Linked DNA regions of Saccharomyces cerevisiae S288C. The protein of the gene in region 1 interacts with the protein of each later gene in a pairwise test. Each region holds a gene or a part of one and is shown in the gene's direction. Other genes may lie near its edges. The genes, in order: IMH1, REA1 and YPL216W.

Region 1 (5,242 bases):
ATGACTCAAGAGGAAAAATTCGTGGCGGGACAAAAGAGGCACTGATTGAACATTTAACCAGTCATGAACTTGTTGATGCGGCTTTCAATGTTACAATGTTAATAACTTTCAGAAGTATATTAACCACAAGAGAGTTTTTTTATGCCCTGATTTACAGGTACAACTTGTATCCTCCTGAAGGGCTGAGTTACGATGATTACAATATTTGGATAGAAAAAAAGTCAAACCCGATTAAATGCCGTGTGGTCAACATTATGAGAACATTTTTGACGCAGTATTGGACAAGAAATTATTATGAACCTGGCATACCACTGATTCTAAATTTTGCCAAGATGGTTGTATCGGAGAAAATACCGGGGGCAGAGGATCTTTTGCAAAAGATAAATGAAAAACTGATAAATGAGAATGAGAAAGAACCAGTGGATCCTAAGCAACAAGATTCGGTATCGGCAGTCGTACAGACAACTAAACGTGACAATAAATCACCGATACACATGTCTTCGTCTTCTTTACCATCTTCTGCTTCTTCAGCGTTTTTTAGATTGAAGAAATTGAAGCTCTTGGATATTGACCCATACACATATGCCACACAATTGACTGTACTTGAACATGACTTATACCTCAGGATCACTATGTTTGAATGCTTGGATAGGGCATGGGGTACCAAGTATTGTAATATGGGTGGTTCTCCGAACATTACGAAATTTATAGCTAATGCTAATACGCTAACTAATTTTGTTTCTCATACCATTGTAAAACAGGCAGATGTCAAGACACGTTCAAAATTAACGCAATATTTTGTTACCGTTGCCCAGCATTGTAAAGAGTTGAATAATTTTTCTTCAATGACTGCCATAGTGTCCGCTTTGTATTCCTCCCCAATCTACCGACTGAAAAAGACATGGGATTTAGTTTCCACTGAGTCGAAGGACCTTCTGAAGAACCTAAACAACCTTATGGATTCCAAGAGAAATTTTGTGAAGTATAGAGAGCTGTTGCGATCCGTGACGGACGTTGCATGTGTTCCCTTTTTTGGTGTATACCTATCTGATTTAACATTTACGTTTGTCGGAAACCCAGATTTTCTTCACAATTCAACCAACATAATAAACTTCAGCAAGAGGACTAAAATCGCAAATATAGTGGAGGAAATTATAAGCTTTAAAAGATTCCATTACAAGCTGAAACGATTGGATGATATTCAGACCGTTATAGAAGCGTCTTTGGAAAATGTCCCCCACATTGAAAAGCAGTATCAATTATCACTGCAAGTGGAACCGAGATCAGGAAACACCAAAGGCAGTACGCATGCTTCTTCTGCTAGCGGTACAAAAACTGCAAAATTCCTAAGTGAATTTACAGATGATAAAAATGGCAATTTTTTGAAGCTAGGTAAGAAAAAACCTCCTTCTAGGTTATTTCGATAAAAGTTTATACAATTTGCTAATCAAGAAGAACCTTAGCTTTATGTTTGATTGCTACACTCTATTATTTAAGATGGCTGCTTTTACTTAATATTCTTCGTGATAATACTGTACTGGTGGAGTGTTTTTCGTTTTCGAGGATTTGAGAGTACGCTTCATTTGCAGTTCTTCTTGATAAAGTTCGTTTTATATATATATATCTATTTTATATCTTTATATATTTTATTACACCCAGTTAAGTTATCGATCCAAGATTTTAAATGCCCGATTAGAGGAAACTTATTACCTGAAAAAATATCAATTAGTGATTCTATGAAAAGCTATTACCCGCATTCTCATAGTTCGGATTTTCAGATCCAGCAATATAAGAGAACCAAATGTAGCAGAAACGTCAAATAGTAAGCAACAGGAGTTACATTTGAGGTGATTTTAACTTAGGGAAACATTTGCTGATTCAATGTTCAAACAGCTGTCACAAATTGGTAAGAATCTTACCGATGAATTAGCGAAGGGCTTAGCCGATGATATGAGCCCTACCCCGTCAGAACAACAAATCGAAGATGATAAGAGTGGCTTGCCAAAAGAAATACAAGCTAAATTAAGAAAATTTGAGAAATATGAACAAAAATACCCTTTGCTACTCTCCGCATACAAAAATGAAAAATTAAAGTCAGAGAAGTTAGAGGCTGTTGAAAAGATTTTAGCGGAAAATACACCCATATCTAATATTGACGACGCAGTGGATACGTTGCCAGCTTTTTTCCAGGATTTAAACAACAAAAATAACCTATTGAATGATGAGATCAAGAGATTAACTAAGCAGAACTCGGAAATTCCAGAAAGCGCCTCTAGTGAAACTCTGAAGGATAAAGAAGAGGAATTTTTGAAAAAAGAGCAAAATTATAAAAATGACATAGACGATCTAAAAAAAAAAATGGAAGCTTTAAACATAGAATTGGATACTGTACAAAAAGAAAAAAATGATACTGTTTCAGGTTTGAGAGAAAAAATAGTTGCACTGGAAAATATACTAAAGGAAGAAAGGGAGGCCAAAAAACAGAAAGAAGAAGTATCTATATCCGAACTGAAGGAAGAATTGGCTATAAAGAACCATTCTCTCGAGGACAGTCGAATGAAGATAACCGAATTGGAGCAAAATTTGTCTTCGAAAAGTACTATAATGGAGGAAAAGTCCTCAGAGTTGGCAGAACTAAATATTACTTTAAAAGAGAAAGAGCGCAAGCTGAGTGAATTGGAAAAAAAAATGAAGGAGTTACCGAAGGCGATATCTCATCAAAATGTAGGAAACAATAACAGAAGGAAAAAGAATAGAAACAAGGGAAAGAAAAATAAGGGAGGCATAACTACGGGTGATATCAGTGAAGAGGAAACGGTCGATAACTCAATCAATACTGAAGAATATGATAAGCTTAAAGAAAATTTGCAAGAATTACAAGAAAAATATAAAGATTGTGAAGATTGGAAGCAAAAGTATGAAGATATAGAAGCAGAACTAAAAGATGCTAAAGAATTGGAAAACTCACAGCTCGAAAAATCAGCAAAGGAGCTGGAAACCCTTAACACCGAGTTGATCGATACCAAGAAGTCATTGAAAGAAAAAAATTCGGAGCTAGAGGAGGTGAGAGATATGCTGAGGACTGTAGGCAATGAGCTTGTGGACGCAAAAGATGAGATTAAAGAGTCTTCGAGTAAACAAAATGAAGAAGTGAAAACCGTTAAGCTGGAGCTCGATGATTTACGCCATAAAAATGCAACGATGATCGAGGCCTACGAAGCTAAAAATACTGAGTTGAGAAGTAAGATAGAGTTATTGAGCAAGAAAGTAGAGCATCTGAAGAATTTATGTACAGAAAAGGAGAAAGAGCAGACTACATCGCAGAACAAGGTAGCCAAATTAAATGAGGAGATATCTCAACTTACCTACGAAAAATCAAACATAACAAAGGAGCTTACTTCTTTAAGAACCTCTTATAAACAAAAGGAAAAAACTGTGAGTTACTTGGAGGAACAAGTTAAACAATTTAGTGAGCAAAAGGACGTGGCTGAAAAATCCACAGAACAGCTGAGAAAAGATCATGCTAAAATTTCTAACAGATTAGACTTATTAAAAAAGGAAAATGAGACACTGCATAATGATATCGCAAAGAATTCTAATTCCTACGAGGAGTATTTGAAAGAAAATGGTAAATTATCGGAAAGATTGAATATTTTGCAAGAAAAATACAATACCTTGCAAAATGTAAAAAGTAATTCGAATGAACACATAGATTCTATCAAAAGACAATGTGAGGAACTAAATGTCAAGTTGAAGGAATCTACAAAAAAAATTTTATCTTTAGAAGATGAACTAAATGAATATGCTAATATTGTTCAAGACAAAACCAGAGAAGCTAACACATTGAGAAGGTTAGTTTCGGACAGTCAGACAGATGATTCGAGCAAACAAAAAGAGTTGGAGAATAAATTGGCCTATTTAACGGATGAAAAGAATAAATTGGAAGCAGAATTAGACTTACAAACATCCAGAAAGGCCACTGAATTACAAGAGTGGAAGCATACAGTAACTGAGCTGAAATCGGAAATACACGCTTTAAAGCTTCGTGAAGAGGGACTAAAATCAGAGGTTGACGCATTGAAACATGTTAACAATGACATCAAAAGGAAGACTCAAGCCACTTCAGATGATTCCGATCAGTTGGAACAGATCACATCTAATTTAAAACTCTCATTGTCTAAGGCTGATGAAAAGAATTTTGAGCTACAGTCTGCCAATGAGAAACTTCTGAATTTAAATAACGAACTTAACAAGAAATTTGATCGATTACTAAAAAATTATCGTTCATTGTCCTCTCAATTGAATGCTTTAAAGGAAAGACAATACAGTGACAAGTCAGGAAGAGTTAGTAGGTCTGGTTCTATCGGTACTCTAGCTAACGCGAATATTGATTCCTCACCAGCGAATAACTCTAATCCAACTAAATTAGAGAAGATACGATCATCAAGTTCATTGGAGTTAGACTCTGAGAAAAATGAAAAAATTGCATATATAAAAAATGTTTTGTTGGGATTTTTGGAGCACAAGGAACAACGGAACCAATTACTTCCTGTAATTTCTATGTTGTTACAACTGGACAGTACTGATGAAAAAAGACTGGTTATGTCTCTGAAGTAAAAATGTAGCTGAAAGCAGAAGATACGTATATATTGAAACAGTTTTTTTCTTCCTGAAATATATCAAGAAGTTGCTGCATGTCTATATATAAAATACTAAAGCAATTTCTTTTTAAATTGTAATTTAATTCTTCCTTATTTTCTTCAATTCCCTGAAAATTAGGACAAGAATTCTTTTATGTAATCAATTCCGCCGACACAATGAGAAACTGTTGATTGATCATCACCTATCAACTTATTTATTTTAATGGCAAGATCGACAGTTTTTTCCGTTGAATCGTGTTCTAATATTAATCCGGTTCCTGACTTGTTCCAGTTTATTACATTTTGAAGAATTTCTTGTTCAGTTATGACAGAATCATTGAGAAGGAGGCTCCAATCAAAAGTATCGTGATCCCATAAGACGGCTTGTAAGCCAAATTGCCTTGTTATTGCTCTTACTCTATTATCTATTCCGCCATATGGAGGTCTGAACCATTTGGGGGTATGGTTGCCAGTAGCATTCATCGCCCAGATGGACCATTCAATTTGAGCTATAATTTTTTCATTCGATACATTTGGCAAATATACGTGAGACCAGGTATGTGAGCCGATTAAGTGTCCCTCCTTTTGCATTCTTTGATAGA
Region 2 (4,949 bases), 390 kb from region 1:
TTCAGCTATCATCAAGTTTGGTACATCCTGAACCCAATTTCACGATATTTTAATATTCAGATATTGAAAAGGTGCATTATTATTGTTCGCTTAAATACAGAAAATAGGAAAGCAATACGAAATCATTACTTTTATCATGTTGTTTCTTAACGTAATTACTTAATAAAACTCATGTGAACCGTATGAAATGTAATAACTATATATGTCTGCTCAACTTTGAATATGATCACATTATTTTTCCCACTTGTTTTGACTTGGAGAAATACCTATTTTGACTTTAACAACGTCCATCGTTGCTATTGCATCTTGAGAACTATCATGCTCGCCATTTTGGATTTTTCTACTCAAAACTTCAAACGCTAAGTTCTTCAAAGAAACCTTAAACTTTGTTCTTGAATAAAGTATTGCAGTATCTATAACCTTATTATGAAATAGCCTCATGACGTTCAGATCGTTCTCTAGTCCGTGCCCTATAAGAATACTATTTTTATTTATTAAGTTTTCGGATAAAAAAACATCAAGTGCCTCCTTGTACGTCGGGCAATTGGTTCGGTCAATCTCATGGACACCACTGAAGTCTGAATTCAGATCGACAATATCCCCTATTGGCTGAATTACATGATCAAATAGTGTCTTGCCGGTGAAAAAATCCACAATTGTTAAACGTATCATCTCATAGCCCAATGATGTAAAAGCCATTTCACAGTCAAGAGAAAGAACATTCTCAACACCATCAATGTCATCTGTACTAGAAAACTTCGAAATTTTGCATAACTCGTCATATGATTCTCCTCTAAACACATGGTGAAAAAACGTCTTGCATCCTAGCCTTAGAAAAGAAACGGAATCAGTAGTTTCACCACAGCATGGATACTGATGGTTCTTGGTATCTCTGTTGTATATTCTTTTCAAAGGGTGATACCTACATAGAGTCTTTTCCATGATGTCTGTTTTTTTGAAATTTGAGCTGCAACGCAAACAAGGTGCATACAGTTGCGTACTATTGTCATCATTAGTTTTATTTTGCATTTCCTTAACAATATACCCATTTTTCTCTAAGACCTTCGAATCCAAAATCAGAGCCTTTAAAGCTTCCATCGCTTTTGATTTTGTAGTGATAGAGTTTGCATTACCAATTGAGGATAAATGAGGCTTAGCTCCTTTAAGGGGGCGCCCATTAATTTTGATCTTCGAGAGATCTCCTTTATATTTAAGCACATCCCGCAGTAAAATGCTCATGTTAAACTTGTAACTCTGACCAGACAAGCTGTTTTTAGCAACATGGACTTCTAAGCGAGTGGCAAGTCTTTCAAGGTCAATATTAGTTCCTTTTGTGTGTGCATATGCCTTTTGTAGCTGCTTGAATAATTTCTGCAAAATTTTATATCTTTCTTGGAATCCAAGCGGTTGATTTACCAGATCAACCGGTCTCAACAAACTTCCCATACTAAAGCTTTCTCTTGATATATAGTCAAACTGAATGTATACTGAAACACATATTCAAGGCATTGATTTTAAATGCACTTGAACCGTTATTCCATTTCTTTTTCTACTCATCATTTATTGTCGCCCTTTACGAGGTATTTTTTCTTTTTCGAGTGAAAAATTTTAAAGAAGCGATGAGCTAAGGTCTATTTAGCTTTATGAAAAGAAAACATTATATCACTTACTGCTTTACTTTAGACATTCCTCTCCAAAGTGATTATTTTAAAGATTCAAAGTACCTCTGAGTTAATTTGACATCGAATTCTACTCTTATTATTTTAAGGTACCTCTACTTTACGCGGTCACATTATTTTTAAAACCGTTATAATCTGCTGAGAATGTCCCAGGATAGAATTTTGTTAGATTTAGACGTAGTTAACCAAAGGTTAATTCTCTTCAATTCTGCTTTTCCCTCTGATGCTATTGAAGCGCCCTTCCACTTTAGCAACAAGGAATCAACTTCTGAGAATTTAGACAATTTAGCAGGAACTATACTACATAGCCGTTCCATCACTGGTCATGTTTTCCTTTACAAACATATTTTTTTAGAGATAGTGGCACGTTGGATAAAGGACTCCAAAAAAAAAGATTACGTTCTTGTAATTGAAAAGTTGGCAAGTATAATTACAATATTTCCCGTTGCAATGCCATTAATTGAAGACTATTTAGATAAAGAGAATGATCATTTCATCACTATTCTTCAAAATCCATCCACACAAAAGGATTCCGACATGTTTAAAATACTATTAGCATACTATAGGTTACTATATCACAATAAAGAAGTATTTGCACGCTTCATTCAACCCGACATTTTATACCAACTTGTGGATTTACTCACCAAAGAACAAGAAAATCAGGTTGTTATATTTCTAGCATTAAAGGTTTTATCTTTATACTTAGACATGGGAGAAAAAACATTAAACGATATGCTCGACACTTATATAAAATCACGCGATTCATTGTTGGGCCATTTTGAGGGCGATTCTGGAATTGATTACAGCTTCCTCGAACTGAACGAAGCTAAGAGATGTGCAAATTTCTCTAAACTACCCAGTGTTCCAGAATGTTTCACTATAGAAAAAAAATCTAGCTACTTCATTATTGAGCCTCAGGATTTGAGTACTAAGGTCGCGTCAATCTGTGGCGTTATCGTCCCTAAGGTCCACACTATCCACGACAAAGTATTCTACCCATTAACCTTTGTCCCTACTCATAAAACGGTTTCCTCTCTTCGTCAACTCGGGAGAAAGATTCAAAATTCAACTCCAATAATGCTCATTGGAAAAGCGGGATCCGGTAAAACCTTTTTAATCAATGAGCTAAGTAAATATATGGGTTGCCATGACTCCATTGTGAAAATTCATTTAGGTGAACAAACTGATGCCAAGTTACTGATTGGTACTTATACCTCTGGTGACAAGCCAGGCACGTTTGAATGGAGAGCTGGTGTTCTCGCTACCGCGGTCAAAGAAGGGAGATGGGTACTTATAGAAGACATAGATAAAGCTCCTACAGATGTTTTATCAATACTTTTATCGCTTTTAGAAAAGCGCGAACTAACCATTCCATCCAGAGGAGAGACTGTAAAGGCTGCAAATGGTTTCCAGTTAATATCAACTGTTAGAATAAACGAAGATCATCAGAAGGATAGTTCCAATAAGATCTATAACTTGAATATGATTGGTATGAGAATCTGGAATGTTATTGAATTAGAGGAACCTAGCGAAGAGGATTTGACACACATTTTAGCCCAAAAGTTTCCCATTTTGACCAACCTTATCCCCAAACTAATCGATTCATACAAAAACGTCAAAAGTATTTATATGAACACCAAGTTCATTTCATTGAACAAGGGGGCACACACAAGAGTTGTATCTGTAAGAGATTTAATTAAGCTGTGCGAAAGGTTAGACATCCTATTCAAAAACAATGGCATCAACAAACCTGACCAACTAATCCAGTCTTCTGTCTACGACAGTATTTTCTCCGAAGCCGCCGACTGTTTCGCTGGCGCTATTGGAGAATTCAAAGCTTTGGAACCTATTATACAAGCAATCGGCGAGTCATTAGACATTGCTTCCTCAAGGATTTCGTTATTTTTGACCCAACATGTGCCCACTTTGGAAAACCTTGATGATAGCATTAAAATTGGAAGAGCCGTATTACTTAAGGAAAAGCTAAATATACAAAAAAAATCAATGAACAGCACATTGTTCGCATTTACGAATCATTCTTTAAGACTAATGGAACAGATTTCTGTTTGTATACAGATGACTGAACCTGTTTTACTAGTCGGTGAAACGGGTACCGGGAAAACTACAGTCGTTCAACAACTTGCTAAGATGTTAGCAAAAAAATTAACGGTAATCAATGTTTCACAACAAACAGAAACTGGTGATCTTCTTGGTGGGTACAAACCCGTAAATTCTAAAACAGTTGCAGTTCCTATACAAGAAAATTTTGAAACTCTTTTTAATGCTACATTTTCCTTAAAGAAGAACGAGAAGTTTCACAAGATGCTACATAGGTGCTTCAACAAGAATCAATGGAAGAACGTTGTTAAACTTTGGAACGAAGCGTACAAAATGGCTCAAAGCATATTAAAAATTACAAACACTGAAAATGAAAACGAAAATGCAAAGAAGAAGAAAAGAAGACTCAATACTCATGAAAAAAAATTGTTACTTGACAAATGGGCTGACTTCAATGACTCAGTGAAGAAGTTTGAGGCCCAGTCTAGCTCTATTGAAAACTCGTTTGTCTTCAATTTTGTCGAGGGTTCTTTGGTAAAGACTATCAGGGCTGGGGAGTGGCTATTGCTCGATGAAGTGAATTTAGCAACCGCAGATACCTTAGAAAGTATTTCTGACCTTCTCACCGAGCCTGATTCTCGTAGTATTCTTCTTTCAGAAAAGGGTGACGCTGAGCCTATAAAAGCTCACCCCGATTTTAGAATATTTGCTTGTATGAACCCCGCTACTGATGTTGGTAAAAGAGACTTACCTATGGGTATCAGATCAAGATTTACCGAAATATATGTACATTCTCCGGAACGTGATATTACTGATTTGCTTTCCATAATTGATAAATATATTGGAAAGTACAGCGTCAGCGATGAATGGGTAGGAAATGACATCGCTGAACTTTACCTTGAAGCCAAAAAACTCTCCGATAACAATACTATAGTTGATGGCTCAAACCAAAAACCACACTTTAGTATCCGTACCCTGACGCGTACATTGCTTTATGTTACTGATATTATTCATATCTACGGTCTACGCCGTTCCCTGTATGATGGATTCTGTATGAGTTTTTTGACTTTACTGGACCAAAAATCTGAGGCCATTCTGAAGCCAGTAATAGAAAAATTCACATTGGGGAGGCTAAAAAATGTCAAGTCAATCATGTCACAGACACCTCCCTCTCCAGGACCAGATTATGTTCAGTTTAAGCATTATTGGATG
Region 3 (5,621 bases), on another chromosome or scaffold:
TTTTACGTCTTCTTGTCGTAGAGGCAGTTGTAATTTCTCCGTTAGCCTTTGCCTCTTCTTTCATTTTTTCACGTTCAAAATCATCCAGTTTCTGTTGGTAAAAAGGTGTGGGACATGGATCTGGTAATTTTTCAATTTGTGCTACTGAGAAATCACCAACACCAGCAATATGCACCCTAGTGCCCGGAGCAGAAGGCAAAGGAGTACCGTGCAAATAACCATAGATAGCGACTTTGCGGTCGATTTGCAGTCCTTGAGTCTCTATTAATTCCGGATGAGTTAAATCTGTGAATCTGTCAGCCAACATATAGGGATGTTCGTTCCTCCATTTTAATGGTCTGAATTTCATAACAGATATAAATCGTGAAAGGTTTAAAATCTCTCTATCAGGATACCTTCCATTAATCACACCAGATAGGTAAAATAATTTTGCACCTTGATAAACTTCCGTCCAGAATCTGTGCTTTAATCTTTTCTTAGAAGCTCTCAAAGTTGACTGAGATTTAAACAGATCAAGATGTGTAGCTACACCAAGTACTCTTGGCATACCGTGATGTTGAGCAATATTTAAGAATTCCATTGTTTCCATTTCAAAACCGAAATTACCGTCAATTAGTAAAAGAACCAAGTCGGCAATCTTAGCAATATCAATCATCGCATTCAGATCGTCCGCAGGGCACTCCAAAAAAGTTAGTCTTCTATGTTTACCAGAGACAACAGTAATAGGACCTTGAATATCATTCAAAGTGCTTTTTGTCATTCTCCTGACGAGGGACCGAATCAAAGTAGTCTTTCCTGTTCCAGGTGGACCCACGACAGCGACGATAAATGGAGGCGGATCATCTTCAGGGGTACGATCAACCATAGGAACATGCAGTTTTCTTTCGTTCACATCACTTGACCTTTGCATAGTTCTCGCCATCTTACCTGGGGCTGCCACGGCAAAGGCCTTTGCATTATGACCCTGCGTATGGAGCTTCTTTTTTGCTGTATTCTTCTCCTTCGCCTTACGGTGCTGTTTATTAGACTGCTCCATCGTTTCAGATAACTCAGATGGCTGATTAAAGGCTACTATTATGTGATATTTTTACCTTAACAGCGCAAATACTTTCCTTAATTTTGAAGCTTCACTTCAGCTCATCGCCTTGAAAATTTTTCATTTGTACGGACATTAAACTTAGGCGATAACAAAAAAAAAACTTCATCTAGATAATCTCAACTTTGAAATTACAGAAATATTTACAACAGTAGTACGAGTATCTGCACTATGGCTCACATGTCCTTAAAATAATCTAAGCTTACCTATCTGATATTTGTTTTGATATTGTTTAGGACCAGCAGTTTCTGAGAGTTTAGCAAATGCACCTTTACAGCTATCCTCAACTTTTGGAAGAGAAAGTGACAAGATATGTAACAATACTTGCATGAATCGACATTTGTTTACTTTGGTCCATTTTGTATATGATAGTGTGATTTAGCGATATGGAATTATGTGTATTTTTCTATTTGTTGTCATTTCAATATGGGATGACTTGTTTTCTTGTAACGCGCCACTTCAATAGTAAACATTATGAACCTGATAAATGTTAGCAGACTTAGTAAGAGAGACAATCATTTTCATTCAGTAAAAATCGCAATCCCTAGTTTGGCTCTTCTTCTAGCCGTACTTTAAATTCAAAGCAAAAATGGTTCTGCTTAACAGAAGGAAAATACAACCTAAGGAAATAGGACAGTCTGCTGATTCCTTCTCTGAAACTCCATGGGTGATTAAAGAAAGTAGCGAGCGTATAAATGATTATGACAGTGATTTAAAAAAGCTAGATTTTTACAAAAGGGATATATTCACCTGTGAGATTAGTGGAAAAGATGGCCTTTCGTATTTCAAGGCGTTAAAAAGCGAAGAACAGCACCGTGAAAAGGTCAGATATCTTTTACCAAAAGAACTAAGGAAGGCTATAGCAAATTTCGCAAACTTCAGTCCGATAAGGAAGGTAGGACACCTTGTAGAAAGCGCATTTCAGCGTTTTAGTAACCGTTTCTTTATAGGCGATACGGTGTGCTTGAAAACTATCCAAAAAAATGCATTGATTACCTATAAAGAAGGAGAGCCTAACTTGGTAGAATCACCAACTATTGAAAACAATGTCACGTTGTTCCTTGTCAAGGATGTGTTTCAATCTAACGGGATGATGGAAAGTGAAAAGGGAGAAATTTCTGCCCCAAAATTGTCACTGTATTTAATCACAGAATGCCTGAATCGAGAATCTAAAGGTGCGGCCCTAATTGTAGGCCAGAATGAAATTAAAAGGCCAGAATCACACTTTTCTAAATTCATAATTGCGTGTTTTCTTAATGAAATACTCATAAAAGTATCGAATAAGGAGCACGCACCATGGAGGGTGAAACAAGAATATATAGAAAGATATGATGTAAACCCTAAATGCTCTCCTAATATGATTGATTATTTGCCGGATAGAATGAACTCATCTTCTTCCGAGCTTTACACTCCTCTTACTATACCACCAGAGAGCGATGTTGAACCTGCTGACTGGAAGGAAACGTCGGAAACGTCGGAAACGTCGGAAACGTCACTATCTAAAATAAAAGCAATTGACGACGAGATTTCAGTCTCATTTGACCACATTTACGATAATGTGAACTCCCTTGCCTACAATGATTTGAAGGGAACCGTCGACGACAAGGAGCTTCCATTCACTGGGCCTTCGATACCATTTGAAAATATCAGCTACTTAGATAGCTCCTTAGAATATAAGAATATCGATCAAAAATGGTTCAAAGAGTGCAGTCAATTTCCAACGGAACGACTATTGGTTGTTTATCAATTCCTGAGCTTTTTTGGACGTTTTATTGGTCTATCACATTTTAATTTTGATCAGTTCCTTACTACTATCAAGTGTACTAGTCCGGAGGCTTTAGTAGATGAATATGTCAAAATAAACTTTCTTAAAACTTACAACAGCAAAGGGAGTTTCACAAATGAGAAGCCAAGAAACGAAATATATAATCAAGTGACCAGTAGTAACGTATCCCAGCGTGAGAAGGCTAACGTCTTTAATGCAGATGAGAGTCAACGAATACCTAGCAATTTCACCAGAAACCAGAAAATGAGGAAATTTATAACGGATAAAAGTACTGAATTTGTAATGTATTCCATTTTTAAAGGGAAGCCTCTAAAAAATGACGATATGGAGTTTCAATCGTACGAAAAAGTGAATATACTTTACATTGATATAGTTTGCTCGTTAATGTGTCTGATGACGGATAATGAACCTGATTGGAATTGTAATCTGATGGACAATTGGACTGAAGAAAAGCGAAAGGAGGAAGGAAATAAAACAGAAATTGATATAGCTATAGAAAAGTGTTTGAACTATGGAGATACTAGCTGGGTTAAACTTTTGCACAATAAAAACTTTAGCAACGGCAATTGGTTGATCTGTCTCCTTGGAATCTTGCAACAGAATACACATATGATAGCATATAGTGATGTCGCAAAATGTATCACAAAAAAAATACTACCTTTATCCATGAATTTTGTAAATTTAGGTGATGAGCTCTGGGATAACTTTCGCAAGAGATTATCTATAAAAGATAAAATTGATGTTTTATGGGTTCTCGTAGATTTTGCGTCCAATTTCTCGAGTTATATTAAGGAGTTGGTAGATAAAGTACCAAAACTGTGCAATGGAATCCGCTTAAAGTTGGATAGTGCAAAAAAAGAGTATATCAAATTGAAACGGCAACTAAAAACGTTAACCAAAAATCGCGTGAAGCTTCACAGCAACGTTTCAATGAACCGATATGGATCAGATGAATGTAAAGGTAAGGTCAATGCCCTTAAAGTGAAAATTGCATACTTAATGGAAGATATCGCCTTCCTAGAGGCAAAATTGATTCAGAGCGATATCAAGAGACTAGAGATTTTGGGTAAAGATAGAAATGGAAATCGATATTATTGGATGGACTCAAATGGATCGTCATCAGCCATCAGTGAAAAAAATGAGGAACTTTACAACTGCTGTTTTTTGTGGGTTCAAGGACCCTCTGAAGCGGATATAAACTTTTGCTTAGATGTCGACGTCGAATCTTTGAAAAAATGGGAGTTGTTAGCTAAAGCAAAAGGTACTGCCTACGCGACAAAAGAAGTCTTTTCAATATTTAGGTCGACAGACGGGTCTTACTATCAAATTGCTCAAGGTGAGAATTTCATGATAATTAATTCAAACGGTATCTTAATGAGGCCAACTATTCCGGCATTCATAGACAAAAAAATTATATCAGAAACTCCAGAAAAGCTCCTACTCTCTCATCATCAATGGGCTTTCTTCAACGATATAGAAGATATACATATGTTAGTAGATAGGTTGGATGATTTAAGAGAAAATGAGGGACAATTGAAGAAAGCTTTGACATCCAAAATGGACCGTATTGAAGTATCATACAAGCAACAGTTCAAAATTAAAAGGCGTATTGAATGTGATGAAACCTTCAAAAAAAATCACAAACTTTTGAAAAATAACGAGTTCACGTTTCCTGAACTGAAAAGAATTGAGACAACTTGTACATCCAACGGCCAACATTTTTCCAACATGGAGAAAATTTCCAAAAAACTATCAAGGACAAAGAATGATCTCGTTTTGGAAGCGATTTTAAAAGACGTAGCTCACCTTGGAGAATGTGAAAGAGCACTTCTCAAAAAGCAACAAAATTTGATTTATCCTTTGAATTTTCATTTCGAACAATTGAGGACGATAGACCTCGAATTTATAGTTGAAACGAAAAGAAAAAGGCAAGAGGATATTCTTACGAAGCTTTTAAATCATCAGAGGTATAAGCATATTAGTCATGTTTCAGGCTATGGGATAAGTTCTCAACGAGTAGATAAAGCTGCACATCTTGATGTGCAGGGTATATTAGAGGAGATTGAATGTCAACTTATTTCAAGACGACGAGAGGATGAAGAACGCAACTAGAAACAACTCTGCAGTTCAAATCACTCTTCCTGTATACGCCTTAGAAAGATATTAGAAATATCTTTTACTATTTAATCTTCACCATTCATTATTCCTCGTATATAAATTGGCCCATTTCAGGGCGTCTGACTGGAGTTGTATTTAGGCTTTACCCGGCGTTCTTCTGAATTTATAGCCAGCAAGGAAAACAACGTCAAAATTGGTCCTCGACTGACGCATTAGTAAGATTAATATTTAGCAAACACTATGATCTCCGTAACAATCTCTTCAGCTATTCCAACACTTGATGATGTCAGTCAATAGATTTACTTCAGGTCGACTCCCTGTTTTCCTTAGAAAGTCCCCTTTTTACTACTCGAGAGCTTATTTGCATCAAACATGTGTTTTCAAGCAAAATAAAGAAACTGCACAAGATTCGCCAGAGCTTTTAGCAAAAAGCTCACATCTGAATTCGAAACCACTAGATGTAAGCAATAAAGCACCAGTGAAAACTGCTCAGAATAAAATTCCTCTAGCTCATAGTAAATATGAATCGTCAAAGTACGAACTTCCCAAATGGAAAGAAGCCTTGGGTGAACTAGTAATTCGAGCATTTCATTTAGATATGGATAGAGTGAGGGCAGGGCC

Evidence for each region.
Region 2: the proteins of IMH1 (region 1) and REA1 interact in a two-hybrid assay, tested with the Saccharomyces cerevisiae proteins (one large-scale study listed by BioGRID).
Region 3: the proteins of IMH1 (region 1) and YPL216W interact in a two-hybrid assay, tested with the Saccharomyces cerevisiae proteins (one large-scale study listed by BioGRID).

What each region holds. Positions count from the first base shown.
Region 1 is NC_001144.5:748,409-753,650, reverse strand, and holds IMH1 (Imh1p), read left to right. Parts: upstream 1-1,881; coding exon 1,882-4,617; downstream 4,618-5,242. Other genes in the region: Ras family guanine nucleotide exchange factor CDC25, read left to right, coding at 1-1,427; chitin deacetylase CDA2, read right to left, coding at 4,776-5,242. UniProt on the Saccharomyces cerevisiae protein: Involved in vesicular transport between an endosomal compartment and the Golgi apparatus.
Region 2 is NC_001144.5:360,613-365,561, reverse strand, and holds the start of REA1 (AAA family ATPase midasin), read left to right. Parts: upstream 1-1,823; coding exon 1,824-4,949. Other genes in the region: REX3 (RNA exonuclease), read right to left, coding at 232-1,446. UniProt on the Saccharomyces cerevisiae protein: Nuclear chaperone required for maturation and nuclear export of pre-60S ribosome subunits.
Region 3 is NC_001148.4:142,136-147,756, forward strand, and holds YPL216W (uncharacterized protein), read left to right. Parts: upstream 1-1,685; coding exon 1,686-4,994; downstream 4,995-5,621. Other genes in the region: GTPase BMS1, read right to left, coding at 1-1,036; CBP3 (Cbp3p), read left to right, coding at 5,281-5,621. UniProt on the Saccharomyces cerevisiae protein: May be required for the activity of an ISWI chromatin-remodeling complex.